7 linked regions of the Macaca mulatta genome follow. The protein of the gene in region 6 interacts with the protein of the main gene of each other region in a pairwise test. Links are inferred from orthologs where the notes say so. Each region holds a gene or a part of one and is shown on either strand. Other genes may lie near its edges. The genes, in order: FERD3L, SNX20, PHYH, GOPC, PRPF3, FAM9B and GSTK1.

Evidence for each region.
Region 1: the proteins of FAM9B (region 6) and FERD3L interact in binary tests that used the Homo sapiens proteins (3 or more experiments, as listed by UniProt). The two-hybrid records come from large-scale screens. The link is inferred for Macaca mulatta from reciprocal best matches to the Homo sapiens genes FAM9B and FERD3L.
Region 2: the proteins of FAM9B (region 6) and SNX20 interact in binary tests that used the Homo sapiens proteins (3 or more experiments, as listed by UniProt). The two-hybrid records come from large-scale screens. The link is inferred for Macaca mulatta from reciprocal best matches to the Homo sapiens genes FAM9B and SNX20.
Region 3: the proteins of FAM9B (region 6) and PHYH interact in binary tests that used the Homo sapiens proteins (3 or more experiments, as listed by UniProt). The two-hybrid records come from large-scale screens. The link is inferred for Macaca mulatta from reciprocal best matches to the Homo sapiens genes FAM9B and PHYH.
Region 4: the proteins of FAM9B (region 6) and GOPC interact in binary tests that used the Homo sapiens proteins (3 or more experiments, as listed by UniProt). The two-hybrid records come from large-scale screens. The link is inferred for Macaca mulatta from reciprocal best matches to the Homo sapiens genes FAM9B and GOPC.
Region 5: the proteins of FAM9B (region 6) and PRPF3 interact in binary tests that used the Homo sapiens proteins (3 or more experiments, as listed by UniProt). The two-hybrid records come from large-scale screens. The link is inferred for Macaca mulatta from reciprocal best matches to the Homo sapiens genes FAM9B and PRPF3.
Region 7: the proteins of FAM9B (region 6) and GSTK1 interact in binary tests that used the Homo sapiens proteins (3 or more experiments, as listed by UniProt). The two-hybrid records come from large-scale screens. The link is inferred for Macaca mulatta from reciprocal best matches to the Homo sapiens genes FAM9B and GSTK1.

The regions. Positions count from the first base shown.
Region 1 is NC_133408.1:109,145,152-109,148,451, forward strand, and holds FERD3L (fer3-like protein), read left to right. Parts: upstream 1-1,916; 5' UTR 1,917-1,969; coding exon 1,970-2,470; 3' UTR 2,471-2,550; downstream 2,551-3,300. UniProt on the Homo sapiens protein: Transcription factor that binds to the E-box and functions as inhibitor of transcription. DNA binding requires dimerization with an E protein. Inhibits transcription activation by ASCL1/MASH1 by sequestering E proteins.
Region 2 is NC_133425.1:46,127,640-46,131,250, reverse strand, and holds part of SNX20 (sorting nexin-20), read left to right. Parts: intron 1-1,297; 5' UTR 1,298-1,306; coding exon 1,307-1,436; intron 1,437-2,904; coding exon 2,905-3,056; intron 3,057-3,611.
Region 3 is NC_133414.1:14,852,783-14,857,729, reverse strand, and holds the start of PHYH (phytanoyl-CoA dioxygenase, peroxisomal), read left to right. Parts: upstream 1-1,666; coding exon 1,667-1,741; intron 1,742-3,370; coding exon 3,371-3,429; intron 3,430-4,947. UniProt on the Homo sapiens protein: Catalyzes the 2-hydroxylation of not only racemic phytanoyl-CoA and the isomers of 3-methylhexadecanoyl-CoA, but also a variety of other mono-branched 3-methylacyl-CoA esters (with a chain length of at least seven carbon atoms) and straight-chain acyl-CoA esters (with a chain length longer than four carbon atoms).
Region 4 is NC_133409.1:22,589,458-22,593,433, reverse strand, and holds the start of GOPC (Golgi-associated PDZ and coiled-coil motif-containing protein), read left to right. Parts: upstream 1-1,176; 5' UTR 1,177-1,397; coding exon 1,398-1,682; intron 1,683-3,976.
Region 5 is NC_133406.1:116,798,911-116,803,076, reverse strand, and holds part of PRPF3 (U4/U6 small nuclear ribonucleoprotein Prp3), read left to right. Parts: intron 1-864; coding exon 865-1,171; intron 1,172-3,788; coding exon 3,789-3,955; intron 3,956-4,166. UniProt on the Homo sapiens protein: Plays a role in pre-mRNA splicing as component of the U4/U6-U5 tri-snRNP complex that is involved in spliceosome assembly, and as component of the precatalytic spliceosome (spliceosome B complex).
Region 6 is NC_133426.1:8,568,459-8,573,248, reverse strand, and holds the start of FAM9B (protein FAM9B), read left to right. Parts: upstream 1-1,680; 5' UTR 1,681-1,947; intron 1,948-2,704; 5' UTR 2,705-2,793; coding exon 2,794-2,821; intron 2,822-3,321; coding exon 3,322-3,442; intron 3,443-3,621; coding exon 3,622-3,653; intron 3,654-4,790. UniProt on the Homo sapiens protein: May play a role in meiosis.
Region 7 is NC_133408.1:183,293,869-183,297,745, forward strand, and holds the end of GSTK1 (glutathione S-transferase kappa 1), read left to right. Parts: intron 1-1,560; coding exon 1,561-1,677; intron 1,678-2,034; coding exon 2,035-2,128; intron 2,129-2,741; coding exon 2,742-2,791; 3' UTR 2,792-3,088; downstream 3,089-3,877. UniProt on the Homo sapiens protein: Glutathione S-transferase that catalyzes the conjugation of glutathione to exogenous and endogenous compounds. Significant glutathione conjugating activity is found only with the model substrate, 1-chloro-2,4-dinitrobenzene (CDNB).

The sequences.
Region 1 (3,300 bases), on a different chromosome or scaffold from region 6:
GAGAGCATGTTACTACTTTTTTGAAACAAAAATCAGTTCTCCCATTTACCAGTTTCATAGCCACTGTTGACAATCCTATGAGTTTTTGTTTTTCAGCCTTCCCTTTGAAAGAAGCTTAGCAAAAATCAACTAAGTAATAACCAAAGATCTATTCTCATTAACATCTTCCAGGATCACAAATTTCAATTATTCTCTGCCTGAGTTATCACAATGCAAACTGGAGAATGAACAGTAAACACAAGCAAAAGAAGATAAAATCTCTTAGAAGATCCAGAGACACCAGACACAAATGGGTTAAAAGAAGAAGAATTCAAGGTTATACTCTTCTGATTACACAGAGAGAGGCTATGAAGAAGAAAATGAATTGAGATTACCTGTTAGAAACAGGAGGTTTCTGGTTTCTGGGAGCTGTCCAATGTACTGAGTGAACCATCTTAGCCACAACTTACCCCTTAATACGGACTGATGTCCTGGGCGGTTCTCTTTTGAACCGAGATGTTTCCACATTCATCTTTTTAGGCTATTTCTTCTAATCTACCTTTAAAATTATCTTCTAATCTGTCATTTTGACCCAATGGGTCTTTTAAATAAATCTTTACACATTACTGAATAATTAAGTAAATATAGTTATTGACAAACAAAGAAAAAGGACCCTTTTGTTAAAATATTAGGGATACTAGAGAAAATATAAAATGAGTAAACTCTTATTTTTATTATGCCAAATTTAAAATCTCTTTCTTATCTCAACGATCTAACGATAATCAAAAAGCTCCTTTAAATATAATTCAATAAGTCATTGTTTCTGCTCTTAAATCTTACTGTAGGACAATACAAATCAATGAGGAAAATAAGCCAGATGGAAGTGTTAGGTTTTTTTCTTTGTTCAGGAACAAATACTCGATCCGCAATTTAAAAGTCCGAAGACTCCTCAGCAGAGGGTGAACTGATTGACTCTTTGGCTTATCAAGGGCAAATCGCATTTCTGAAAAGAGCTTGAAGTGGTTTTGTTTGTGGGGAGAGTTTGCTTTGTCCCCCACACTGAAAGGTATACAGCAAAGCCCGAGCATAGAAAATGTCCTGAGCTTAAATTTGTCATTTTATTGCCGTCATCACGTTTCCTCTTGGAATAAAATCCTCTATTTTATATGAGCAGGAGGTAAAGGTAGGGAAAGGAAAGTCAAGTATCTCAATTGTTAGGCTGATTGCATCCAAACAGACTTTAGAAGCAAGGGTTTGTAACGTGGCAGGAGAGCTGTTTGCGATGCCCTGGAAAGAAAAAGAAAGCCGGTTCCAACAGCGACTCTGGGGAATGCACTCTCGGCCCCCCTGCCATGCTTACTTAAGCTAATGGAAGGTCTTGCCTTTCAGCAGCCGCTGCACTGGGATACCAGACAAACAGCTCCCCTCGATCCCAGGCAGGCAGGGCCCCTCTTCAGGACATCATTAAAAGCACATGCACTTGCTCCACATCCATTGGCAGATGGTGGCAAGATTCAAGACTCCTATCCTGAAGTCAAGGAGAAGCCATCGCCGTGGAAAACATCCTCGCTTTGAAAATCCAACACGAAATTAAAGAACTACACGAGATAAGGAGCCCGGAGAACATTAGTTGGCTGCAGGGGTGAAGACAGACACAAAAAGCACAGCAGGTAAGAGCTGGGGGTTGTTGCCAACAAGGAACTGTCCCGGGTGGCGCACAGAAAAGGATCTCAGAACTGGAGGCCTGTCCCTTTGAGTCTTCCATGCGTGCTCAAGCTTGTCATCTTCCATAAGCTTCGAGAGAAGGGACGTTGTCAGAGCATTTCTTATCGGTGCGACTAATCCTGTTATCAGCTCGGTTATAAATATTTAATGTTCCCTGGCCCTTCGGTGATGGTGCCCCATCAGATTCAAGGCTGTTAAGAATCTCCACCAGCAGCCTCGCCCCTCCCTGCGGAAAACCGATGAGAGGCAGGGCCAAGCCGAAGCGATGGCGGCCTATCCAGAGAGCTGCGTGGACGCTACGGTGCTGGACTTCGTCGCAGACCTGTCCCTGGCCTCCCCGGGACGCCCTCTCCTCTGCGACTTCGCACCCGGGGTCTCCTTTGGGGATCCAGCCCTTGCGCTCCGAGAAGGAAGACCCAGGAGGATGGCGCGGTTTGAAGAGGGGGACCCAGAAGAAGAGGAGTGCGAAGTGGACCAGGGGGACGGAGAAGAGGAGGAGGAAGAGGAGCGCGGGAGAGGCGTCTCCCTATTAGGCCGCCCCAAGAGGAAAAGGGTGATCACCTACGCCCAGCGCCAGGCCGCCAACATCCGCGAAAGGAAGCGAATGTTCAACCTCAACGAGGCCTTTGACCAGCTGCGGAGGAAGGTGCCCACGTTTGCTTACGAGAAAAGGCTGTCCCGGATCGAGACCCTCCGCCTGGCCATCGTCTACATCTCCTTCATGACCGAGCTCTTGGAGAGCTGTGAGAAGAAGGAAAGCGGCTGAACCGGGTGGGGAGAGTCTGCCCTTCCTGGTCTGGTAGTGCTGGGGTGTGTCAGGACCGGGTACTGGGTGAGGCTAAAGGGCCAGGAGGGACGCCCCAAGACAGAACGTCTGGCCTTCTGGAGGTCGGTTTCGAGATTGTAAGATCCCTAAAGTCCCCGAGCAGAGTGGCTGTTGTAGAGTTCATATCTATGCGACCGCCCTAAGTGAAGTCGGGGTCAGGGGCGCGCGGGGATGTCAGAGCGCGAGAGGATGAGTCCGGGCCGTCCAGGCTGCTCCTAAGAGCTTCCGTGGGCTAGGTGGGTGGGAAGAGAACCCTCCTCGCAAATGGCAAACTTGGGAGCTTCTATAGAATCTAACCTCTCCTCTTTACTTTTTTTTTTTTTCATAGAGATAATAAAGTAGAAATTCTTACTTTTTAAAAAGCCTCAAGAGTCGGTGGTGCGCCATCCCCAGCAGGCGCTCCAGCAGGCGCCTGCGAGGAGGCTCTGGAGCAGACGCCGCGAGGGTGCGGGGATGCGAGCTTTGCTGGTAGCCAGAGGGTTCTGTCTGGTCCTCCGATGCTTGTCCAGGAACTGAGGGAAGGAAACATGGAAGGCAGAGCAGTCGAGGGGAACTGCTGACAAAGTGGGACCTCTGAGAAGGAACACCCTTGCTGTCTTCCATTTCCTCTCCCTCCCCTCCCTTCCTCTCTCCTGCGCGCGAGCCCTCTCTCTTCCTTTCTCCCTCTCCCTCTTCACCTGGTTGATTCCAGAGGGACCATGGCTCCTTGTCCCAGGGCCACAGTGGTGTTCATTCAGTGCCTTAGCCAGAGTGCAAATCTACGCTTTGCA
Region 2 (3,611 bases), on a different chromosome or scaffold from region 6:
GTTGGGTGTCAAGCGCACTGCCAGCACGTCACAAGCACTGGAGACAAACTCAGCTTTGCTTGTTGCGCACACTCACCAGCTGCATGACTTTGGGCTAGACCTCAGTTTTCTCATCTGTTATGTGGTGGTAATGATAGACTTTTGTGAGCATTAAACTAGATTAGGGGCTGTGAAGAACCTAGGTGGGTATGAAGTGGGTATAAGCTATCAGTTAATTTTGCTGATAGATAGATAATTGATTGATTGATCGATAGAAGATTCATACCAGTATCTACCTGCTCTGAACACTGAGCTTTCTTTTTTTCTTTTTGAGATGGTCTTGTTCTGTCATCCAGACTGGAGTGCAGTGGCGTCATCGTAGCTCACTGCAGCCCCAGTCTCTTGGGTTTAAGGGATCCTCCTGTCTCAGCCTCCCAAGTAGCTGGGGCCACAGGCATGCATCCTGGACAATTTTTGTTAATTTTTTCTAGAGACGGGGTCTCACTACATTGCCCAGGCTGGTCTCAAATTCCTGGGCTCAAGTGATCCTCCTAACTCAGCCTCCCAAAGTGCTGGGATTACAGGCATGAGCCACCGTGTTCAGCTTGAACACTGAGACTTCATTCGCATGTGTAACATAAAAGTGAGTGTCTGCACAAGCCAGCATCTTTCGCTCGAGTAATCACTAAAGCCAATACTTTTGCTTGAAATCATCTCATTTAAGGCCGGGCGCGGTGGCTCAAGCCTGTAATCCCAGCACTTTGGGAGGCCGAGACGGGCGGATCACGAGGTCAGGAGATCGAGACCATCCTGGCTGACACGGTGAAACCCCGTCTCTACTAAAAAATACAAAAAAAAAACTAGCCGGGCGAGGTGGCGGGCGCCTGTAGTCCCAGCTACTCGGGAGGCTGAGGCAGGAGAATGGCGTGAACCCGGGAGGCGGAGCTTGCAGTGAGCTGAGATCCGGCCACTGCACTCTAGCCTGGGCCACAGAGCAAGACTCCGTCTCAAAAAAAAAAAAAAAAAAAAGAAATCATCTCATTTAAAACTCTGAGCAATATGTAAGGATCACCTCAATTATACATGGATCATCACAATAGGTGAAGGGTCTTCTCTGCCTTGGAGTAACCTGCCCAGCAAAGGGGCAGACCCAGGTCTGGGATCTGGCAGCCGGGAGAGTGGGGAAGGTTGAGCCGTGGGGCCATTGTCATTCCCTCTGACTCCCAGGAGGGGGCATGACACAGCTCCTAGGCACCCCAGGAGACACCGGGAACCCCAACTGGAGTGGGTACTCACTGTTCTCTTGTTCCTCTGGCAGGCTTGGAGCATGGCAAGTCCAGAGCACCCTGGGAGCCCTGGCTGGAAGGGACCCATAACACAGTGCACAGCAAGGACCCAGCAGGAAGCACCAGCCGCTGGCCCTGACCTCCCACACCCAGGACCTGACAGGCATTTAGGTGGGCTTGAGGCTTGAGACTCGGTCTGGGGGAGAGGTCTGAAGGCATTCAAAGTACAAATGTGGGTCACTTTGGCGGATATAGCAAGAGGCCCGGGCAGCTCTTGTAACTTGGGTTATCCCAAAGCAGACACTGAGACACAGATTTGGTGCAAGCTGTTTATCTGGGAGATGGTCCTAGGAGTCACGGCAGGGGAATGGGAATGGCAGAAAAGGGCAAGAGGCCAGGGCAGGACATCAGTGAACAGATAGGCATGATAAGTGGCTGAGGCTCAACCCTAGCGGGGGTCTTCTGGGAGACCTTGGAATATATCTCTGGGTTGTGCTATCCTGGGGTGAGGAAGCCGGGCTGTTATCTACCAGTCCTGCCCTGCAGAGGAGAAGGGACGCTCCTGGGCCTGCTGCTATGGCCCTAGAAAGCCCTCAGGGAAGCCAGTGGCATGTTCTGGAAAAGTAGGTGCCAAGAGGGCATGGTCCAGCCTGGGGCATGGACAGCATCTGCTGTAGTGCCATCTCCTGGAACAAATCTTTTCTTACAATCCTTCAAGATGTCCTCTACTCAATACCTGCTCTGTTCCTGGCCCTATGCAGGGCACTGGGGAAACAGAAACAGGAACAAATCAAACACTGCACTAGTCCTGAGGTTTGGTAGAGAAACAGATCAGTGAAAAATAGATGTGCCATGCAAAACAAATAAATAAAATGAAAAAGTATAGGAACAAGGTGGGAGGCTCTTACTCTAATGCCAAGGGGCATGTGCAGTGATGTGGGGGCTTGGTCTTGAAGGGTAGACTGGAAAAGGGCTGGGAACCATGCCCTTTGCGATAAAATGCACAATTATTTGCGCTTCTCAAGAAGCTCAGAGGGGCGCAGGGCTCAAGTGGGGTTTAAGAAACACTGTGTTCGTTTTCCAGGCATGGAAATAGAGGGTTGGATGCCAGGCAGAGGAGTGCACGTCCAAGAAGAGCCTAGCATGTGAGCAGTTAGATGAGAAGGTTAGGAAGGGCCAGCCCGCTGACGCTGGAACATAACATCCTTATTGCTGCCTCCCCTGCCCACTGATGTGTGCTCAAGGAGTCCTGGCGACAGTCACAAAGTCAGGGCTGCAGGGAGCACAGAAACACACAAGTCAGTCTCTGCTTGTCCAGAGCGGGGATTTCACCATGGCCAATCTGCAGACCAGAAGTGGACGATGCAAAATGCCCACACCACATTCCACAGCTAAGAAACCACTTGGGGGTGATGGGCTATTTGAGATTGTCAGTGGTAGGGTGGATTCTGCCAGGCTGGGCACAGAGGTCTGTCTGATGCCCCAATTGGGCCTATCAATGGCGGAGTGGGAGAGAGGGATATTCAGTACTCTTTAGGAGTTCTGATATCCCATCTCAGATAGACCCAGCCATCTCCCCAAGCCATGCCTCAAAAGTGCACTGAGAGGGTGCAGATCCTTAAGGGTGTTGTCCTTCCAGACATGCATAGTGGCCTGAGCTCCAACTCCAGCATGACCACGCGGGAGCTCCAGCAGTACTGGCAGAACGAGAAATGCCGCTGGAAGCACGTCAAACTGCTCTTTGAGATCGCCTCAGCTCGCATCGAGGAGAGAAAAGTCTCTAAGTTTGTGGTAAGCAGAGATCGGGAAATGGTGGAGCCTCTCTCACTCTGCTTCCTTCCCGGCCCTGAATAAGTCTTGTGGGGCCTCAGGTTTCCCAACTATGAAATGGGTCAGCACACTTCAGGCTCAGCACCTGCTAGGGTCTGTGAGGATTCGAACCATGGAAGTCATGCTTCTTGGTCCCAAGAAGGAAATAGCCCAGTTTAATCCCATCTTATCGGGTGTCGGTCACCTGTGTCCTTTCTTCACCAATTTTGCCATATCCCTGTATCCATTATAATTATTACTACTTATTTTTTCTTTAAATTGGATCACTTTTTAAAAACACAAAGTACATTTATTTCAAAGAGAAATACCTTAAATGGAAAACCAGTATCACATGGCACAAAGAAAAAGTAACATACTAGAAAAGTCGAAACAAGGAAAATCAATACAAGGAAAGCTATGCGCTGTTATTAAATTCTAGCTGGGTACTGTGGCTTCAGGAAAGCCCTGCGCCTGGGGGCTGCTCTCCCTGTTAGACTGGAATTTTAGCTTGTGTTAAGGAGATGTTAAAGACTGCCT
Region 3 (4,947 bases), on a different chromosome or scaffold from region 6:
GCTGTTTTGGAGTTTTGTTTGTTTTTTGTTTTTGTGTTTTTTGGACAGGGCCTCACTCTGTTGGCCAGGCTGGAGTGCAGAGGTACGATCTGGGCTCAGGTGATCCTCCTGTCACAGGACGTGCCATAGACAAAACTCCTCAGACACGGGGTTAAAGAAGGAAGAGCCTTTATTAGGCTGGGAGCTTCGGCAGACTTGAGTCTCAAAAAACCAAGCTCCCTGACAAAGAAATTTTTGGCCCTTTGAAGGGCTTACAACTCTAAGGGGTCTACATGAAAGGGTCGTGATAGATCGAGCAAGCGTGGGGAAGGTGACTGGGGGCTACATGCAACAGCTAACAGAAAGTTTTGCAATGCTTCCTCACACAATGTCTGGAATTTTTTTTTTTTTTTTTCTTTTTTTTTTGAGACTGAGTCTTGCTCTGTCACCCAGGCTGGAGTGCAATGGCTGGATCTCGGCTCACTGCAAGCTCCGCCTCCCGGGTTCACACCATTCTCCTGCCTCAGCCTCCCGAGTAGCTGGGACTACGGGTGCCTGCCACCAGGCCTGGCTAATTTTTTGTAGATCAGGTGTTCTCACTATGTTACCTAGGTTGGTCTTGATCTCTAGCAATCCTGTGCTCAAGTGATCCTCCCGCCTCGGCCTCCCAAAGCGTTGGGGTTACGGGCGTGAGCCACCGCATCTGGTTAAAAACCTGTTTGTTTGTTTGTTTGTTTGTTTGTTTGTTTTAGAGGCGGAGTCTTGCCCCGTCCTAGGCTGGAATGCAGTGGTGCGATCTTGGCTTACTGCATTCTCCACCTCCCGGTTGCAAGCGATTCTCTTGCTTCAGCCTCCCCAGCAGCTGGGATTACAGGCGTGCGCCACAACACCCAGCTAATTTTTGTATCTTTAGTAGAGACAGGGTTTCACCAAGTTGGCCAGGCTGGTCTTGAACTCCTGACCCTGTGATCCGCCCGCCTTGGCCTCCCAAAGTGCTAGGATTACAGGCGCGAGCCACCGTGCCTGGCAAACTTTTTGTTTAAATCGAAGATTTTATTCTTTCAGCTGTCAATGGAAGGAGCAGTCACGTGGGGTGAAATAGATGGAAGCCATGACGTTAGGAGCGTGAGTGAGGTCCTGGCCCAGCCACTTGTCACGGAGTGACCTCGGCCTGGTCACTGGGTCCCCGAGCCTCCGGGAGGCAGTGAGGGTCCTGGTGATGGAATAGAAACAGGGTGCGGGGCAGGGGCGATGACTCACGCCTGTAGTCCCAGCACTTTGGGAGGTCGAGGCGGGAGGCGGGGAGGAGTTTGAGACCCACCTGGGCAACGTAGGGAGACCCCATCTCTACAAAAAATTATAATTAGCCCAAGAGTTCAAAGCTGCAGTGAGCTATGATCGGGCACTGCATACCAGCCTGGGCGACAGAGCAAAATCTTGTCTCTTTTTAAAAAGAAAGAAAGAAAAGAAAGGACGAAAGGATCATGGTGTGGGGAGCACGTCAGCTCCGCGCGGTTGCCCGGCGCGCGGACCCTAGCGGACTAGGGCGCCCCAGCAGCCCGGCCCGCGAGATGGCGCCGCCCCTAATCCCGCCCGCGTCTTGCCCCGGACCGCGCCTGGAGGCGGAGCCGCCCGCGGAGCTAAATGGGGCCGAGACCTTGAGTGGGGGGGTCCCCGTGCCGCCGCCATGGAGCAGCCCCGCGCCGCCGCCCGCCTGCAGATCGTACTGGGCCACCTCGGCCGCCCCTCGGCCGGGGCCGTCGTATCCTTTGAGCTGCGCGGGTGTCGGGCTGGACCGGGCGCCGGCGCCGCAGCCTGAGTGGTGGCCCGGGTCCGAGTGGAGGCCTCGGCGTCGCGCGCATCCCAGCCCCGGCGCCTCCTCGCTCCGCGCCGGGTCCCCGCCTGGGTCGCGTCTCTTCCCGGAGCCGGGGAGCGGGGAGGAGGCTGCGTCCCCCGAGGACACGCGCGGCCGCCCTGGGCTCGGGGCACTTGCCGCGTCGCGCTGCTCTCCGGGATCCCTGGGGGCCTCTGCTCCTTGTTTTGTGGAGATGTCGTTTCACCGGCTGCGTGTGACTCCTGCGGCTGTCCAGACACCCAGAGATGTCCAGTCACAGGCGCATGGTGCACAGGCGCGCAGGGTTGCCTGGAAGGGGCCCAGGCAGGCGGTGACCCGGCTCCCACGGGAGGGTACAGGACGGTGCCCTCCCGGGCAGGAGCTGGCCAGGCAGGCGTTGCCCAGGACGGCCTCCCTGCTGGACTACGGCCTTGCCACCGAGTTATATAAAGACACTATTTAGGGAAGGACAGAGGGTGAGGACTGGCGCGGGGGCACACGCCTTGCCTATTTGTCCCAGCTCTTCTGGAGGCCAAGGCCAGGACTCCAAGGTTACAGTGAGCCGTGAAGGCCAGTGCGCTCCAAAAGAGAGAAACAGAGAGAAAGAAAAGACAACATGTTGACTGATGAGAGTGACATTCCGAAAGTAACCAATTAAGCTAAAGAAACAATGCAATTCTATGTCAACTGCCTGCAGTTACCGGATAGAAAAGAGATCCTTAAAAGGAATTTCTAGAGTTTTGCTTTTGTGGGTTTTTTTTTTGAAACAGGGACTCTCTCTGTCACCCAGGCTGGAGTGCAGTAGTGGTGCGATCTCGGCTCACTCTTGGACTCAAGAGATCCTCCTACCTCAGCCTCCCAAGTAGCTGGGACTACAGGGTTGCGCCACGATGCCAGGCGAATTTGTATTATTATTGTTATTATTGTTTTTATTTTGAGACAGAGTCTTGCTCTGTGGCCAGGCTGCAGTGCAGTGCCGCGATGTCGGCCCACTGCAACCTCCGCCTCCGGGATTCAAGCTATTCCCCTGCCTCAGCCTCCCGAGTGTAATTTGTATTCTTATTAGTAGTAGTACTAGTAGTATTTTTTTTTTTTTTCCCCTGGAATGGAGTCTCTCTCTGTCGTCCAGGCTGGAGTGCAGTGGTGCGATCTCGGCTCACTGCAACCTCCGCCTCCCAAGTTCAAGCGATTCTCCTGTCTTAGCCTCCCGAGTAGCTGGGATTATAGATGAACGCCACCACCCCTGGCTAATTTTTGTATTTTTAGTAGAGATGGGGTTTCAGCATATTGGTCAGGCTGGTCTCAAACTCCTGACCTCAGGTGATCCACCCGCCTCGTCCTCCCAAAGTGCTAGGATTACAAACGTGAGCCAGCGCTTTCGGCCTAATTTGTGTTTTTAGTAGAGATGGGGTTTCACCATGTTGGCCAGGCTGGTCTGCAACTCCTGAGCTCAAGTGATCAGCCTGCCTCAGCCTCCCAAAGTGCTGGAATTACAGGCATGAGCCACCGCACCTGGCCTTCTGTATTTTACTTTATTTGCCTTAATTCACATCCTAGGTAGCTCATCCCACTACAGGGACTATTGCCTCTGCCAGTTTCCATCCTCAACAATTCCAGTAAGTAGTTTAAGTTTTAATTTTGAAATCTATTATGTATACAAAAGTTTCGTGAGTGGTAATGATATAATATACCACATGTTACCTGATTAGAATTTTATTATACAAATCCTCTGTTTCCAGGATTTATTCTAATTAGTACAATTGTGGAAAATTTTGAAGACCGACTAATTTTCTGTATGTATTTTAAGATTCAGAAAGAAGGAAAAATACCAGAAAATACATAATCTGACATTTATTTATTTTTAATAGAGATGGGCCCTTCCTATGTTGCCCAGGTTGGTCTTGAACTCCTGGGCTAAAGCAATCCTCCTGCCTTGGCCTCCTAAAATGCTGGGATTACAGGCCTGAGCCATCACACCAGCCTTATAATCTGACTTTTAGAAATTCAGTTATTACACATCATATTTAAATTAACTTGTGGCCGGGCACGGTGGCTCATGCCTGTAATCCCAGCACTTTGGGAAGCCAATGCGGGTGGATCACTTGAGGTCAGGAGTTCGAGACCAGCCTGGACAACATCATGAAACCCCACCTCTACAAAAATACAAAAATTAGCTGGGCATGGTGGTGTGCACCTATAATCCCAGCTACTCAGGAGGCTGAAGCGGGGGAATTGCTTGAACCTGGGGGGTCAAGGTTGCAGTGAGCTGCTATCACACCACTACACTCCAGGCTAGGTGACAGAGCCAGACTCCATCTCAAAAAAAAAAAAAAAGCTAAGCTTGTAATTTGGTTATATGGACATATTAACTAGCATCTTTGGTTTATCTTAAATCACCTTTAAACGGGAAGATCTTGACCTTCCTAAATATTCTCATACAACCACAATTCCAATCTTAAGGAATAGGTTGGGTGATTTCAGTTTATGGGTATGCTGTACATTTATTTGGATTTTGTTACTTTACTTCTTGGAGTGCATCAACTGGACAGTTAAAAATATAAAATTTATTGAATTTGTTTCTCATCTGAAAAATCATATGTATTCATTACAGAAACATCAGAGAAATAGAAGGAATTTTTTTTTTTTTTCTTTGAGACAGAGTCTCGCTCTGTCACCCAGGCTGGAGTGCAGTGGTGCGATCTTGGCTCACTGCAAGCTCCACCTCCCTGCTTCCCGCCATTCTCCTGCCTCAGCCTCCTGAGTAGCTGGGACTACAGGCGCCCACCACCACGCCCGGCTAATTTTTTGTATTTTTAGTAGAGAAGGGGTTTCACTGTGGTCTCGATCTCCTGACTTTGTGATCCGCCCGCCTTGGCCTCCCAAAGTGCTGGGATTACAGGCGTGAGCCACCGCGCCCGGCCTAATAGAAGGAATTTTTTAAAATCATCCCTAATTCCATTACTAAAGGCAATCACTATTAAAAATTGCTTTGGCATATTTCTTTGCAGGCTTTTTTTTTTTTTTTTAAATATAGTGTCTTGGTTTTACATAATTGTAATAATATTTTATTATAATAAACATTGTCCATATTTTATTTTATTTTATTCTGAGACGGAGTCTGGCTCTGTAGCCCA
Region 4 (3,976 bases), on a different chromosome or scaffold from region 6:
ATTCAATATATTTGTAAATATATGAATTCACAATTTTGATTTTCTGAAATGTCACGTGTGGGAACGCCGTACGTTTTCAAATGTGCCAAATAACAAGGCTTCAGCCATGAATGGATCACATAAACTATGGTGATCCTATAAGAGTATATGCCATGTTTTTACTGTACCTTTTCTATGTTTAGGTAAGTTTAAATACACAAATAGTTACCACTGTATTGTAATTGCCTACCGTATTCAGAATGGCAACATGCTGTACAGGTTTACAGCCTAAGAGCAATAGGCTACATCATACAGCCTGGGTGTGTAGTAGGCTATACTATCTAGGTTTGTGTTTAAATACACTCTAGGATGTTCCCTAGGGGATGATTAACCTAAGGACACATTCCTAAGAACATATCCCCATCTTAAGTGAAGCACTACTGTAGTTGCTTTTGAAATGTGTGACCTATGGCGTATTAAGAGGAATACCGTGTGCCAAGAAGTGACGCTAAGAGTTTATCTTACAACTGAGTTAAGTAAAATTTGGAAACTTGGTTTCGAGGTTAACTAAGACATGTAAGGTGACACAGGTAGTATGTGACAGAGGGTAAGAACTGAACGTTCACCAGGTCTACCTGACCCTTAATCACAATACAAAAAGTTTTCTATTAATTCCGCAAAATCTGGTCAGCCGCTTCAATGCGTAGCGTTACGCAGTCCACACCTGGAATTTGGGGTTGGTTTACCAAGAACAGCCAGGGTGTACGCCCACTCCATCCTAACCAGGAACTGGAATCCAAAAGGTAAAACGTGGCTATTGCGCATGCTCACACCGCCCTTCCTTGCTCTCCCCTCCCTGACCCCAGACGCCACCGCAGCAACTTTCTGGGAGGACTTTGGAATAGCTCCCGCCAACTGTTAAGTCAAACCGGCGGAAATCCTTCCTTTCTGCGACGTGGACACCTTTCTCATCCTCGGGCCTTTCCAACCAGGATGCAGAAACCACGCGGCTCCGTTTCTCAGGGATTCAAGCCGTAGTTTGCCAGTTGTTAATATGGCGGCTAACAGGCAGGTCCCAAGCTGAGGCCTTTCATAGGCCAAGGTCGCATCCTGGCCCCGCCCATTTTGTCCCTCCAGGCTGCGTCCGCCCAGCTCTTCGCTACGCATGCGCAGCGGGGGCAAGCTGGGAGGTGGGACAGACAGAATCTTCCGTGTGTCGCCGCCGCTGCCGCCTCAGCCTCAGCCTCGTTACTCCTGCGGTTCTGTGGCTGTGTTGCTGGCGTTAACGGCGCGAGGTGAAGCGAGGTGACGGAAGGTGCGCGCGCGCGCGCGGGGGGTCCCCTCAGTCCCAGCAGTTCCCTTCGTGCGGGTGGGGCGGAGAGGGTCTTCAGCAGTCGGGAGAGGCCCTTGACGGCGCCATGTCGGCGGGCGGTCCATGCCCAGCAGCAGCCGGAGGGGGCCCAGGGGGCGCCTCCTGCTCCGCCGGGGCCCCCGGCGGGGTATCCATGTTCCGGTGGCTGGAGGTGCTGGAGAAGGAGTTCGACAAGGCTTTTGTGGATGTGGATCTGCTCCTGGGCGAGATCGATCCAGACCAGGCGGATATCACTTATGAGGGGCGACAGAAGATGACCAGCCTGAGCTCCTGCTTTGCACAGCTTTGCCACAAAGCCCAGTCTGTGTCTCAAATCAACCACAAGCTGGAGGTGAGCCGTGGGCGCTGGCGGCTATGGCATCCAACCCCGGGCTGCCCGGTGGCGTCAGATCCCATTTAACGCTCCAGTGAAACGACCCTAGAAAACTGCCCACCGGGGCTTCCAAATGTGATGGGAGAGTGCATGTCTGTGTGTGCGAAGGAGAGGAGTGAGGTGAGGGTGGGGGACAAAAAGGGCCCTAGACCGACACGTGAGTCTCCCCGGGGTACTGTCGTCCACCTTCCTAGTATCTCTCTGAGGCGGAAACTAATTACATACACTAGCCCCCCTTTTACGTGTTACATTAACAAACCTAACAAAGATTCTCTGTCATGAAAATACCGTAGGCCACCTTTTGACAATTGAGTTTTGCAGATCTACTTTCACATTGATAAACCGAATTTGTATATGTTCAGACAGATACAGCCCTGATTATTTTCATTTTAAATATTTCAGGTCAGCGCCTATTACTGCATACAGAGACATGCATAAACTATTTAGGGGAATCTGATCAAAGCTCTTAGGAAAATTTCGTGGTGCATAACGATAGTATCATTGTCTCGGTTTACATCCATAGTTGGTCCTTAAATTACAGGCAGATACCTCCAGAGAGCTTCCTGCAATTATTGAAATTACTTCTGACATTGAGTTTTTATATGCTTGTACATTACTGTGTAATTTTCCAAAGTCTAGATTTATTTTTGAGAGAGTATAAAGCATCATTTGCTTTAATCTCTGATGCTGGGTGTGGGTGAGGGTGGAGTGGCTGTGATTCAAAAAAAACAAAAAACTATCACGTTGTGCAGAAAATTTAAAAAGGGCATTATTACAATATTTATAAATCAAGATAGATTAACATTATTGCATAAAGAGTATTTTCTAACTAGGCAATTTAAGAGAATGGGTCTTTCTTTTCAAAAAGTATAATAGATAAAAATGGGATAATCAGTGATGTGCAAAACTCTTCGAACATTAGCTTTCCTAAGAAATCATTACTCGTTGTCATTGAGAGTGCCCATTGTATCTATATCAATATGAATGTCAGATAAACATCCTCTCCTTGCCTAGTGGTCAGCATTCTTTTTCTCCTATTAGCCATGAAGTATGTGGCATAATTAATCCTTGATTAACATAGATGTACATATCCAAGAATTGTGGCTCTTCTCCACTGCAAGAACTGTTAATTTCTTCTATCCTTTTTGAAAAGATTAGAAAGTGCTAATATGGCCGGGCGCGGTGGCTCAAGCCTGTAATCCCAGCACTTTGGGAGGCCGAGGCGGGCGGATCACGAGGTCAGGAGATCGAGACCATCCTGGCTAACACGGTGAAACCCCGTCTCTACTAAAAATACAAAAAACTAGCCGGGCGCGGTGGCGGGCGCCTGTAGTCCCAGCTACTCGGGAGGCTGAGGCAGGAGAATGGCGTAAACCCGGGAGGCGGAACTTGCAGTGAGCTGAGATCCGGCCACTATACTCCAGCCTGGGTGACAGAGCAAGACTCCATCTCAAAAAAAAAAAAAAAAAAAAAAAAGTGCTAATATGAAGGTAATCACTTCTTACTGTAGGTAAATGAAAACATCTCTTGATTTCTTTATTAGTATTAATTTTCACAAGAAAGCTATTTTTCTGATTTCATTCTGATAGTGAAATTACATTTAATGTTTTATAGAAATAGTACTTTAACTTTATTTCATTTTATTTTATCTTACTGTATTTAAAAAAAAAAGAGATGGAGTGCTTTGTTGCCCAGGTTGGTCTTGAATTCCTGGCCTCAAGTGATCACCCTCCTGCCTCGGCCTCCCAAAGTGCTTTGATTACAGACATGAGCCGCTGTGCCCGGTCATTAGTTCTCTAGCTTTAAACAACAACGATCAAAAGTAGCTTTTGCCACATGATATAATTTGAATGTGTCCCCCAAATTTCGTGTATGGGAAACTTAATCCCCAATGTGACAGTACTGAATCTCCAATATGGGGCCTTTAACAGGAGAGTGGATTATGAGTACTCAGTTCTTATGAATGGATTAATCCACTCATAGATTGATTTGTTATTGGATTAATGGATGAATGAGTTATCATAGGAGTGTAAAAGTGGTGGCTTATAAGAAGAGGAAGAGAGACCTGAGTAAGCATGTTAGCATGCTCAGCCCCCTTGCCATGTGACACCCTATGCTGCCTCCATACTCTGCACAGATCCCCTGCCAGCAAGAAGGCTCTCGACTTCTCGAGATCTGGCCCCTCGACCTTGGACTTCTCTGTCTCCATAACTGTAAGAAATAAATTCCTTTTATTTATAAATTACCTAGTT
Region 5 (4,166 bases), on a different chromosome or scaffold from region 6:
TGTCGCCCAGGCTGGAGTGCAGTGGCCTGATCTCAGCTCACTGCAAGCTCCGCCTCCTGGGTTCACACCATTCTCCTGCCTCAGCCTCCCGAGTAGCTGGGACTACAGGCGCCCGCCACCTCGCCCGGCTAGTTTTTTGTAGTTTTAGTAGAGACGGGGTTTCACTGTGTTCACCAGGATGGTCTCGATCTCCTGACCTCGTGATCCACCCGTCTCGGCCTCCCAAAGTGCTGGGATTACAGGCTTGAGCCACCGCACCCGGCCCGTCTTTTTTTTTTTTTTGAGAGGGAGTCTCACTCTGTTGCCCAGGCTGGAGTGCAGTGGCGTGATCTCGGCTCCCTGCAACCTCCACTTCTTGGGTTCAAGGAATTCTGCCTTAGCCTCCAAAGTAGCTGGGACTACAGGTGCCCATCTAAATTTTGTATTTTTTGTAGAGATGGGGTTGCACTATGTTGCCAAGGCTGGTCTCGAACTCCTGGGCTCAAGCGATCCACCTGCCTCAGCCTCCCAAAGTGCTGGGATTACAGTGTGAGCCACCACGCCCGTCCATCCAATAACTCTTATGGAGAAGGCACTGCACCCTCAACTTCTGGGCTCAAGTGACCCTTCTCAACCTCCTGAGTAGCTGGGACCAAAAGTATATGCCACCACACCCAGCTAATTTTAAATTTTTTGTTGAGATGGGATCGCCTTGTGTTGCCCAGATTGGTCTCTAACTCCTGGGCTCAAGTGATCCCTCTGCCTTGGCCTCCCAAAATGCTGTGGTTCTAGTCTTGAGCCACCACACCTGGCTTTATTTTGTTTGTTTTTTTGTTTGCCTTAATGTTCCATACAGGATTTATTTCTTTGCGGGCTATTTTTCAGGAAGGTGGAGTTAAAAGACCAAACGAAACCTACACCACTGATCCTGGATGAGCAAGGGCGCACTGTAGATGCAACAGGCAAGGAGATTGAGCTGACACACCGCATGCCTACTCTGAAAGCCAATATTCGTGCTGTGAAGAGGGAACAATTCAAGCAGCAACTAAAAGAAAAGCCATCAGAAGACATGGAATCCAATACCTTTTTTGACCCCCGAGTCTCCATTGCCCCTTCCCAGCGCCAGAGACGCACTTTTAAATTCCACGACAAGGGCAAATTTGAGAAGATTGCTCAGCGATTACGGACAAAGGTATCTGGCTTATAGTATAACACAGAATTTAGAAAAAGTTAAGAAGCTGAAAGGAAAACATTGTAAAATCTCTATGTTCTAGGAAATTAGATAAATAGGTCATTTAAAGCAGCAGTCCTCAACCTTTTTGGCATCAAGGACTCATTTCATGGAAGACAATTTTTCCCCTGGAGTAAGGATGGTTTTGTGATGGTTTAAGAACATTACCTTTATTGTGTACTTTATCATTATTATTATTTTTGAGATGGAGTTTTGCTCTTGTTGCCCAGGCTGGAGTGCAATGGCATGATCTCGGCTTACTGCAACCTCTGCCTCTCAGGTTCAAGTGATTCTCCTCGAGTAGCTGGAATTACAGGCATGCACAACCACGCCTGACTAATTGTGTATTTTTGGTAGAGATGGGATTTCTCCATGTTAGTCAGGCTGGTCTTGAACTCCTGACGTCAGGTGATCTGCCCACCTTGTCCTCCCAAAGTGCTGGGATTACAGGCGTGAGCCACCACACCCGCCTTTTTTTGGCAGGGGAGCGGGGACAGAGTCTTGCACTGTTACCTGGGCTGGAGTGCAGTGGTGCAATCTCAGCTCACTGCAGCCTCCACTTCCTGGGTTCAAGCCATTCTCCTGCTTCAGCCTCCTGAGTAGCTGGGACTACAGGCGTGCGCCACCATGCCTGACTAATTTTTTGTATTTTTAGTAGAGACAGGGTTTCACTGTGTTGGCCCGGCTGGTCTTAAACTCCTGACCTTGTAGTCTGCCTGCCTTGACCTCCCAAAGTGCTGGGATTACAGGCGTGAGCCACTGTGCTGACTTCTATTATTATTCTATTTTAATATATGATGAAATAATTATATAACTCACCATAGTCTAAAATCATTGGGAGCCTTGAGTTTGTTTTCCTGCCGAGACGGTCCCATCTGGGTGTGATAGGAGACAGTGACAGATCATCAGGCATTAGATTCTCATAAGGAATGTGCAACACAGCCCCCTGGCATGTGCAGTTCACAATAGGGTTCACTCTCCTATGAGAATCTAATGCCACCGCGGATCTGACAGGAGGTGGAGCTCAGACCATAATGCAGGTAATAGGGAGCAATTGTAAGTACAGATGAAACTTTGTTGGTTTGCCTCCTGCTCACCTCCTGCTGTACAGCCCAGTTCCTAAAAGGCCACAGACTGGTGGGTTGGGGACCCCTGATTTAAAGCAATGAATAATTTGAAAATATGCAGGACGAGGTGGCTCAAGCCTATAATCCCAGCGCTTTGGGAGGCCGAGGTGGGTGTATCACAAGGTCAGGTGTTCGAGACCAGCCTGCCCGACATGGTGAAACCCCATCTCTACTAAAAATACAAAAATTAGCCGAGCGTGGTGGCGGGCACCTGTAATCCTAACTACTTAGGAGGCTGAGGCAGGAGAATCACTTGCAATTGGAAGGTGGAGGTTGCAGTGAGCCGAGATCGCGCTACTACACTCCTGCCTGAGCGAAAGAGCGAAACTCCGTCTCAAAAAAAAAGTTTTAAACAGATTTTACTTCCTAATTAGTTTCTACATAAGTGGAAATACTCAATTGAGTTTGAAAATTCTCCACATACAACTAAGTGGAGGGAAACAATTTGAAACACTCTGACTGACTGAGGAAGACTTGCCTGGAGTTAAAATTTCCTGCAGAAAGTACACCTGGAGAGTTGAATTGATTGTATATTGAATGACCTTTGCCTTCTTTTTATCCTCTCAGTGAGGTTTTCATAAAATTCTATTTCTGTGTATTTACTGCAGGCATATACTGTGGAGTGAAGGGAGAGGGTGAAGGTGAGGATCTATGTAAATGAACTAAATAAAGGATAAAATAAAGCAGAACAACTCCTTTCTAAACTTTCAGAATGAATTTGTTGCATTAGGTGTAAAGAGTTCAAAGGGGAAATGTTTTAAAATTTGGGATTATTGGCCAGGCGTCATGACTCATGCCTATAATCCCAGCACTTTGGGAGGCCGAGGTGGGCGGATCACGAGGTCAGGAAATTGAGACCATCCTGGCTAACACGGTGAAACTCCTACTCTACTAAAAATACAAAATAATTAGCCAGGCGTGATGGCAGATGCCTGTAGTCCCAGCTACTCGGGAGGCTGAGGCAGGAGAATGGCGTGAACCTGGGAGGTGGAGCTTACAGTGAGCCAAGATGGCGCCACTGCACTCCAGCCTGTGTGACAGAACGAGACTCCGTCTCAAAAAAAAAAAAAAAAATTGGGAATCTGGCCCCGCACAGTGGCTCATGCCTGTAATCCCAGCACTTTGGGAGGCCGAGGCAGGCAGATCACCTGAGGTCGGGAGTTTGAGACCAGGCTGACCAACATGGAGAAACCCCATCTCTACTAAAAATACAAAATTAGCTGGAGTTGGGGGCGCATGCCTGTAATCCCAGCTACTCCAGAGGCTTAGGCAGGAGAATGGCTTGAACCTGGGAGGCAGAGGTTGCTGTTAGCCAAGACCATGCCATTGTACTCCAGCCTGGGCAACAGAACGAAACTCCATCTCAAAGAAAAAAAAAAAATTGAGATTCTACAAATTCTGTTTTCTATGATTCCAATTTATCTTTCTGTCTTGGATTATCTTGTTTTTAGGCTCAACTGGAGAAGCTACAGGCAGAGATTTCACAAGCAGCTCGAAAAACAGGCATCCATACTTCGACTAGGCTTGCCCTCATAGCTCCAAAGAAGGAGCTAAAGGAAGGAGATATTCCTGAAATTGAGTGGTGGGACTCTTACATAATTCCCAATGGCTTTGATCTGTGAGTTTGTTTTAGTACCTTTTTAAAAAAACAGTTTTTAATCAGCCGAGTTTAAGATTCAAGTTAATACCTTTTAGTAAAGCTAGTGGGAAGGATGGTACTCATTCATTAATTAAAATTTTAAAATCCAAGAAAGATAAGTAACTGTACACAAGCTCCTGTGTTTTTTGTTTTGTTTTGTTTTGTTTTGAGAGGGAGTCTCACTCTGTCA
Region 6 (4,790 bases):
GATACTATGCCTGTGTCCAAGACAATACATTTGTATTTGGTCTCTCCTGGACAGACAGAGTTCAAACTCCCATATCACTCTTCATTTTCATTGGTTGTTTTACTTTTATTTTCTACGGTTTTGGGTTTAGGCATGTTGATGCTGTGTTAAGCACAAAATGATTTCTGTCAGATTGTCAGAGTAGATCATGCCCTTCTCTTGTTCTGTATACTCTGCCTTTAGTTTATTCATTTATTTTTTGCATTATTTTACATTTGCGAGCTATCAATTCCCAGATCCATATTTTCCTTTTCTTCATATTTGTCTGACATGTATTTTTTGTATCATTTTGTTTTAGCTCCATTCTTACATACAGCATATACTTAGATTTTTATTTTGATCCAAGTTGGAAGTCATTTCCTTTAGATTCTGAGTTTATCTCATTCATATTTCTTGCTCAACAGATTCACTTGGCCTTAATTTTGTTCCTTTATGTTATGGTCTCTGGAGTATTTTCTTTATTTTTCAATTTTTACTACAGGATTTGTGTTCTTTGTGTGTGCTCTTTTTGGTTATATAGACATTTAAGGCTGTGGATTAGTTTTCCTGATGACTGCCTTTATAATTTCTTTTCTTTTCTTTTTTTTTGAGGTGGAGTCTCGCTCTGTCGCCAGGGTTTCACCGTGTTAGTCAGGATGGTCTCGATCTCCTGACCTTGTGATCTGCCCGTCTCAGCCTCCCAAAGTGCTGGGATATAATTTCAATAATATAATGAAACTCTATATCTTGATTTACAAACTTTAGGCAATATTTATTTACTCCTAACTCCAAAACAACTCTCCCCCTATTATAGGCGACTGGAGGTGGGAAAAAGCTGAGTTAACGATAAGTATTAAGGCATTAATTTGTGGGTGAAGGTTGTGGCATATGTCTGCATAAGTCTGGAGCATGAGGGTTTGTGGGCAAGTCTGGGGCATGAGGATGAGAAAGAAAAGTAGTGAGGAAACAAAAATGGTTATGGGCAGGGCACGGTGGCTCATGCCTGTAATCCTAGCACTTTGGGAGGCCAAGGCGTGCAGATCAACTGAGGTCAGGAGTCCGACACCAGCCTGGACAACATGGTGAAACCTCGTCTCTACTAAAAAAAAAAAAAAAAAAAATTAGCAGGGCTTGGTGTTGGGCTCCTGTAATTCCAGCTCCTTGGGAGGCTGAGGCAGGAGAATCACTTGAACCCGGGAAGCCGAGGTTGCAGTGAGCTGAGATCACCCTGCTGCACTCCAGCCTAGGCGATAGAGTGAGACACAGTCTCAAAAACAAACAAAAACGATAAAAGCACAATCCATTGATTGAAAAGGATGCAGCTGGGCATGTTGGAAGCACACAGGGCATGGGAGGGAGCCTGGGCCCAACCCATAGGATGATGGCCATTCTAGCCAAAGGGGCAGGGGTGGCTGGAAAGAGCCCCAGGGCGAGGTTCTAGGCCCTGTCCACTTGGCCTCCATACCAAGTCCTGTGTCCCTCCCCAGGAGCAGAAGCTGAAAGAATGTGGGAACAGAGGCCCCAAAGGGCCAACCCCACCTCAGTCCACAGCAACCACTTGCTGTCACTTAGGGGAAGGGGGAGGGCGTGCCAGCAGGGGGCGTGGCCCCACACGGCCTGTCACACGCATGTGCACTGAGTCGACCAATCTGCGAGGAGCGTAGGAAGTGCTGTCGGCAGCTCTCACGAGAACTGAGTACTTGTTTTCTTTTTTGTTTTTTGTTTTTTGTTTTTTGTTTTTTGAGACAGTCTGGCTCTTGCCGCCCAGGCTGCAGTGCAGCCGCGCGATCTGGGCTCACTGCAACTTCCGCCTCCCGGGGTCAAGCAATCATCCTGCCTCAGCCTCCTGAGAGGACCCGTTTTCTAAGAGATCCTAGTGGTGCTGTTGTCTGCAGGTTCTTTGAGGGCGCCACATCAGGGGTCCCTCAGGTGAAGCGCTCGCGGTGGGGAGGCGGAAACGCAGGCACGAGGCCCTCTGGGAACCAGGGTGTGAAGCGCTGGGCCGCCCGCTGACCTGTGAGGAAATGCCCCTGGCGTGGTCGCCTGGGGCCTGGGTCAGGGCGAGGCCCTGAGGGTGGGCTGGGGTGGGCCAGGGCAGGGAGGGAGCTGGAGCCGCCTGGGTGATCCCTAGGGCCCAGGAGGGCTTGTGCATGTGTTGGGGGGAGGTGCGGAAGGTGGGGGGAAGTGGGGGTGGGGCGAGGGTGTTGTTGGGGACAGTCTGAGTGGGGCCCTCCTGCCCGGCCTCCCGTCAGGACAGGACACTTGGGGTCATCAGGGGTCCCCTGTGCATCCAGGCGGGTGAGTGACAGTGCAGCCCCTGACATTCCTCTGGAGGTGGCTGGGGAGATCCTGTGTCACCCGGTGGCCCTCCCAGCCACACGGGGTCGCTGGGGGACCCAGAGGTAGGGCTGAGTTCTGTCCCAAAGGTGCGGCGAGGATCCCGCAGACGCCGTGGAGTTCAGGTGTGAGGGGCAGCTGTGAGCTCTGCAGCCAGCCCCGGGGACGGGCTGGACGGGCTGGACGGGCCAGGACAGGAGGGGACACTGGCATCTTTTCGGTCCCCTCCTGCTCCCACAGGAGACCCAGGGCGTGCCAGCCCCACCCTTCTTGAACCTGTGATCCCAATGGCTTTCCTTTCCGATGCCAGGGTTCCTTTGCTTCCTTAGTGTGCCTTTGCCCTCATCAGGTTCAGGGATCACCTGTAGCTTCCCAGGACAGCCAGCCACGGATCCTGTGGGCAGGAGGGCTGCCAAGGCCCAGTTGGAGGCTCAATTTATGGCGGCCCAGGGGAAGGAGCGTGCAGGTAAATACAGCCCAAGGTGACCCGGAAGAAAGTGCACGCCCAAGAGGACGGTCTGTCTGCTTTCTGCGCTGGGGGCACAGGGGTAGCCCAAGGACCCGGGCCCCTTCGTGGCTTTGGAGTCCATCGTGCACGTGCTAAGATGCCCCAGGTTTTCAAAGCAGGCTCAAGGGCCTTAGGCTTCCCGTGAAAGGCTCCCCTCATAGCGGGGTTACAGATGCTCCCAGAGCAGCTCTTCTCCATGAGTGCAGTCATGACATCCAAGGGGTCTGACGTGTAGTATGTTGTTTACTGGGACTTGAACCCGAAGGGCTTCCAAAAGTGCCTTGATAAAATGGTCAGAAGCCGGTGATTCCATGTACAGCTCTGCTTTAAAGCCTTAATTGGCAGATAGCCAAAAAAAAAAAAAAAAAAAAAGTCTACAACAAGTACATTTCTCCACAAAAAAAGTCCACAACAGTGTCTTCCTCTAAAAAAGGTTTGTCTTTTAAATTTTAATGCAGGAAAGGATCCAGTCAGTGACGAATGTGAGGAAAGAAACCCTTTTACAGAAACAAGGGAGGAAGATGTAACTGATGAGCATGGGGAAAGAGAACCTTTTGCTGAAAAAGACGAGCACACGGGGTAAAGTGTTTAAGTCACTTTTGCCTGTGGGATAGGGTCTTTTAGGAAAAGTCACCTTTGGACCATGTCATCACTGTTCTATTCTGTGCAGAACATTTCACATAAGACATTTCTTTTCCCAACAAACATGGCATTTTGTGTAGTATTATGCTAAAATTTTGATGTAACTTTTTTTACAGGGCTAATACCAAGAAGCCAGAAGATACTGCAGGTATATTTTAGGAGTTATCTGTCGTTTATGAAAATTGTTTTCAATCATGCAACTGTTGCAGTAAGTTATATGAATCAGTGGATGACAAGACTGTCTTAAATGGCTTATCATATGTAGCATTTAACATACGTATTTAATGTAATCTGTTTGATAAATTTTTCTTACCTCTTTGATTGTTGATGTGGAATGTGAGAATGCTTCTAATAATGGTGAAGCGAGATGGATGGCTTTTCTTTCATACACGTGGAAATTTAATTGTTTGGAGAATATTAGAGGACATTGGAGGAGAAACAGCTCTATTCGTTCCTTTTAGTGTACGCAGATTAAGTCATATATCAGGTTTTTTTTAAGCTTTCACTTTAAGTTTGGGGGTACATGTGCAGGTGTGTTATATAGATAAATTGCATGTCACAGGGTTTTGGTATACAGATTATTTTGTCACCCAGGTTATAAGCATAGTACCTGATGGGTGGTTTTTGATCCTCACCCTCCTCCTACCCTCCACTCTCAAGTAGGCCCAGTTGTCTGTTGGTCCCTTCTTCCTGTCCATATGTACTCAGAGTTTTTAATATGAGTTTTTCATGTTCTTAATTTAGCTATTCTATTGTCACAGCTTTCTGATTTTGTTTTATTTGAAGTACAAGAGAAAATTGAATTCTCTAAAATCATTTTCCATTATTATTCCAGTAATAAACTGTGTAGTACAAAAGGACAACTTTTCTATCTAGTGAGAAACATGTAATTGGATCCAAAAACTCATAAACTTTATATTGCTGTGTGAAATATTAGTTGCACTGTTATAGGGACCATATTTTCAAAAAAGTTTGAGAAAATTTCTGTAAAGATGATGGAGACAATACTCTTACTTTTGAAAAGCTCAATTCAGTTTTCAGCTTTTCGATAGCGATGATTCATACAAGCAGTATATTTGGAAAGCTTTGCTCTGCTTGGTGACAAAAAGTGCTGGTTTTGTGAGCTGCCTAATACATTGGGCGTTATAGATGGAGACTGTATGTAAAAAATATTTGCATTATGGTACAAATCTTTTATGATTGCTGAAAACTGTTTTTAGCAATTGATGGTAGGTCTCTGATGTGAAATCATGTTTAGGAAAGCATTCCTTGCAGTATTACAGTT
Region 7 (3,877 bases), on a different chromosome or scaffold from region 6:
CCTTTTTTTTTTTTTTTTTTTTTTTTTTTTGAGACAGGGTCTAGCTCTGTCACCCAGGCTGGACTGCAGTGGCGCAACCTCGGCTCACTGCAACCTTTGCCTCCTGGGCTCAAGCGATCTTCCCACCTCAGCCTCCCGAGTAGCTGGGACTACAGGCACACACTACCATGCCCGGCTAACTTTTTTATTTTTTGGAGAGAAGGGGTTTTACCATGTTGCCCAGGCTGGTCTTAAACTCCTGAGCTCAAGAGAGCTGTCTGCCTCCACCTCCCAAAGTGCTGTGTTTACAGGAATGAGCCACTGTGCCTGGACTCCATGCAGTTTTTAACTCTTTGAAAGTATAGTTCTTTGTTTCTATAGAGGTTCTATTGAGTGGACTTATTTTTGTTTTACTTAACCATTTTTCTGTAAACATTTTGTGTGGTACATAATTCTCTAATTTAACCAAGTCAAAGACAGTGTCTCATTAGGACAGGCTACATGAATTCCTGGGTCGCACTTCTGATCTAGGAAGTCAAGATGCAGTGGTTCTCAATCTTGGCTGTGAATTAAAATCGCCTGGAGTACCTTGGAGCTAACCCTTTCCCCCTGGAATTGTGATGTAATTGTTCTTGTTCTTTTTTTCTTTTTTGAGACAATGTCCTGCTTTGTCACCCAGGCTGGAGTGCAGTGGCATGATCATGGCTCACTGCAGACTCAACCTCTTGGGCTCAAGTGATCTCCCATCTCAGCCTTATGAGTAGCTGGGACTTCAAGCATGTGCCACCATGCCTAATTTTTTTTTAAATTTTTTTGTAGAGATGGGGGTTTCACTGTGTTGCCCAGGCTGGTCTCAAACTCCTGAGCTGAAGCAGTCTCCTGCCTCAGTCTCCCAAAGTGCTGGAATTACAGGCATAAGCCACAGTGCTTGGCTCTAGTTCTAAAGGATGACCTCACGTGGAGATTTTTTAAAGCTCCTCAGGAGTTTCAAATGGGCAGCCAAGGTTAAGAACCACCTATCCCAAACTATACCCAAACCACAAACTGAAGCCTTTGTCTTTGTCTTGAAGCCAGGTAGGTGGCTCCAGCCATGTGCCTTGTTACAAGGTCCTCAGGAAGTTCCACTGGAATTAGAGCCTAGCTCTTGATTCGAAAAAAGCATGAGATACTCAGGAACTCTGAGAAGTAGGAAGAAAAGAGCCCTGGACTTGAATTCTAGAGACCTCAATATTAGTGTTGGCTCTGCTACCAACATGCTCTGTAACTCTGAGCAAGTAATGTATCACCTCTGGATTCAGGCTCTTCATTTGTGAAATAAAGAGGTCTATCTAGCTGGTCTCTAAGATGTCCCCTGGTGTTAATTTCTGTGATTGACTCTGTGCCATCTACCTTTTCCACCCATCTCAAGATTTGGGAGAAAGGAAATAGTTCCTCTTGGCAAGGACAGATCTCCACTTGTGGGTGGGTAAGGGCATTGCCAGGAAAACTTGGGGGCAGAAAATAAAAAGACCAGAGTTTTCCTCTGAGATCCCCATCCAATATCATGCAGCCACAGTTGTATTCCCTACTATATTCCCTTAGGCTGCAGAGAAGGCTGGCATGTCTGCAGAACAAGCCCAGGGGCTTCTGGAAAAGATCTCAACGCCAAAGGTGAAGAACCAGCTGAAGGAGACCACTGAGGCAGCCTGCAGATACGGGGTGAGCAGCTCTTTATGTGTGTTCCCAGCCTCCATCCTGAAGATGGAGACTTGAGAATCTCTAGGTGTGAGTCCCCATGCTTCTGTGCAAAAGCTCGCTTTCCAAGTGTTCTCCTCAATGCTCTTAGACAACCCTCATCTTTTCCCTTCTTTTCCTTGGGCTCAGGGAAAGGAAAGGAAGGAGATGGATAGTGAGAGAAAAGACAGCATCTTAGAAACAGGAAGGCACCTGGGGCCATGGAGCCTCTTACACCTCTTTCCTTCTGTGAACTCAGAAAAGTACTGACTCGAAGCCTTCAACCCCCACCTAATACCTGCTCCTTTGCCTTCCTCCTTGCACTGTAACTGCTTTCTCCAGGCCTTTGGGCTGCCCATCACCGTGGCCCATGTGGATGGCCAAACCCACATGATATTTGGCTCTGACCGGATGGAGCTGCTGGCGTTCCTGCTGGGTAAGTTAAAGATTCAACACTGAGCCGGGTGCAGTGGCTCACGCCTGTAATCCCAGCACTTTGGGAGGCTGAGGCAGGCGGAGCATGAGGTCAGGAGATTGAGACCATCCTGGCCAACATGGTGAAACCTTATCTCTACTAAAAATACAAAAATTAGCCGGACGTGGTGGTGCACGCCTGTAGTCCCAGCTACTCGGGAGGCTGAGGCAGGAAAATCACTTGAACCTGGGAGGTGGAGGTTGCAGTGAGCCAAGATCATGCCACTGCACTCCGGCCTGGGTGACAAAGCAAGACTGTCTCAAAAAATAAAAAGATTCAACACTGAACTGCCTTTAACCCCAGCTCCACCCCCACTATATCAGTTGACTGGAAGGAGGGGCTCAGAGCAAAAAATATTCTTGGTACTTCCAGTAGCAAAGCCTTATGCAGTCCGTGCTGTTCAACGTTGAATGGGCAGGGGCTGTCTTCATCGCCATTAAAAGAGAAGGAAGCCTTCTGTACCTTGAAGCCAAGCAAGGGTCTTATTAGAAAACCCCTGGGACCTTGTGGGACCAACTCCTGCTGCCAGCACACCTGAGAACGGTGTGCAGAGTCTGTTATTTCCTTCATCCAGGAGAGAAGTGGATGGGCCCTGTGCCTCCAGCTGTGAATGCCAGACTTTAAGATTGCCCGGAGGAAGCAAACTCTTCGTATAAAAACAGCAGGCCATCTGCTGAACCCCAGCTCCACCATAAGGCACTGGGACTTGGATTTCTCTATCTGATAGAGGTATTTTCTGTGGCCCTGGGAGCTGTCTATCTTTCCCCTACCCCCAAGGACACCAGGAAGGGGTCCACCATTAGTCATGTGGCAACCTTTACTTCTATGCCTCACAAGTGCCTTTCAGAGAGTCCCCACTCTGCTTTCCCACAAAATAAACCTAATGCCCTCAGGCAAAATGTTTCTGTGTCTGTATCTGCCCTGGTGTATTCTCATTCCTGGGGTCACATCCTGCCTCCTCTAGGGATAGGTGAAGGAGAGCTCTTTTGGTACTTCCAGCCAGATCAGCCATCCAGCCCTCCTTGGGGCTGTGGAAGAAGTGAGAATAGTCCCCCATTCTCTCACACAGAAACTCCCCTGGTCTATCAGCAACAGAAAACCAAGCCAGATGGACTTTGCAACTAACCAGTTTGGGATTTACTGTCTTCTGACCAGCCACAGTGACTGAGATGGGGCTGGGACCAGAAGCCCAGTGGGAGTGAACAGCAGAGGGAACCAGAGTCTGGCTGAGCTTGTGCCCAGATATTTAAACTGCATCCAGCCACACCTGCAGGACCAGGGCAAGGCAGTACTGGGAAACTGGCTGGAGTTGCTGGGGATTGGAGAAGTTGCACACCTTTTCATAGATAGCTCCCTTACCCCTCAGTGCAGATTCTGAGAAAACTCCAAGTATAACCCCTGTTCCCTACTACATACATGTAACTTTTCCATTCCCCCAGTAATTGATCCAAAGTCCCTGCCTCTAGCTGTGCCCATTGTGCAACTATCAGAATCCCTTGTTTCAATAGTATTTTGACTTCCTTGAGAATACTCTGTATTTGGAAGCTGAAACCTCACTTGGACCCATTGTTGGGAACCAAGTACAGAGCCTTACATAGACCAGAGGAGTTTCAGGAGTCATGCCACCTTCTCTTCTATCTCTCCCTCTGGGTCTGGCTCTTCCCATACTCCATTTTCCCCTTTTATCTCCCATTACTTTCTGTCTTCCTC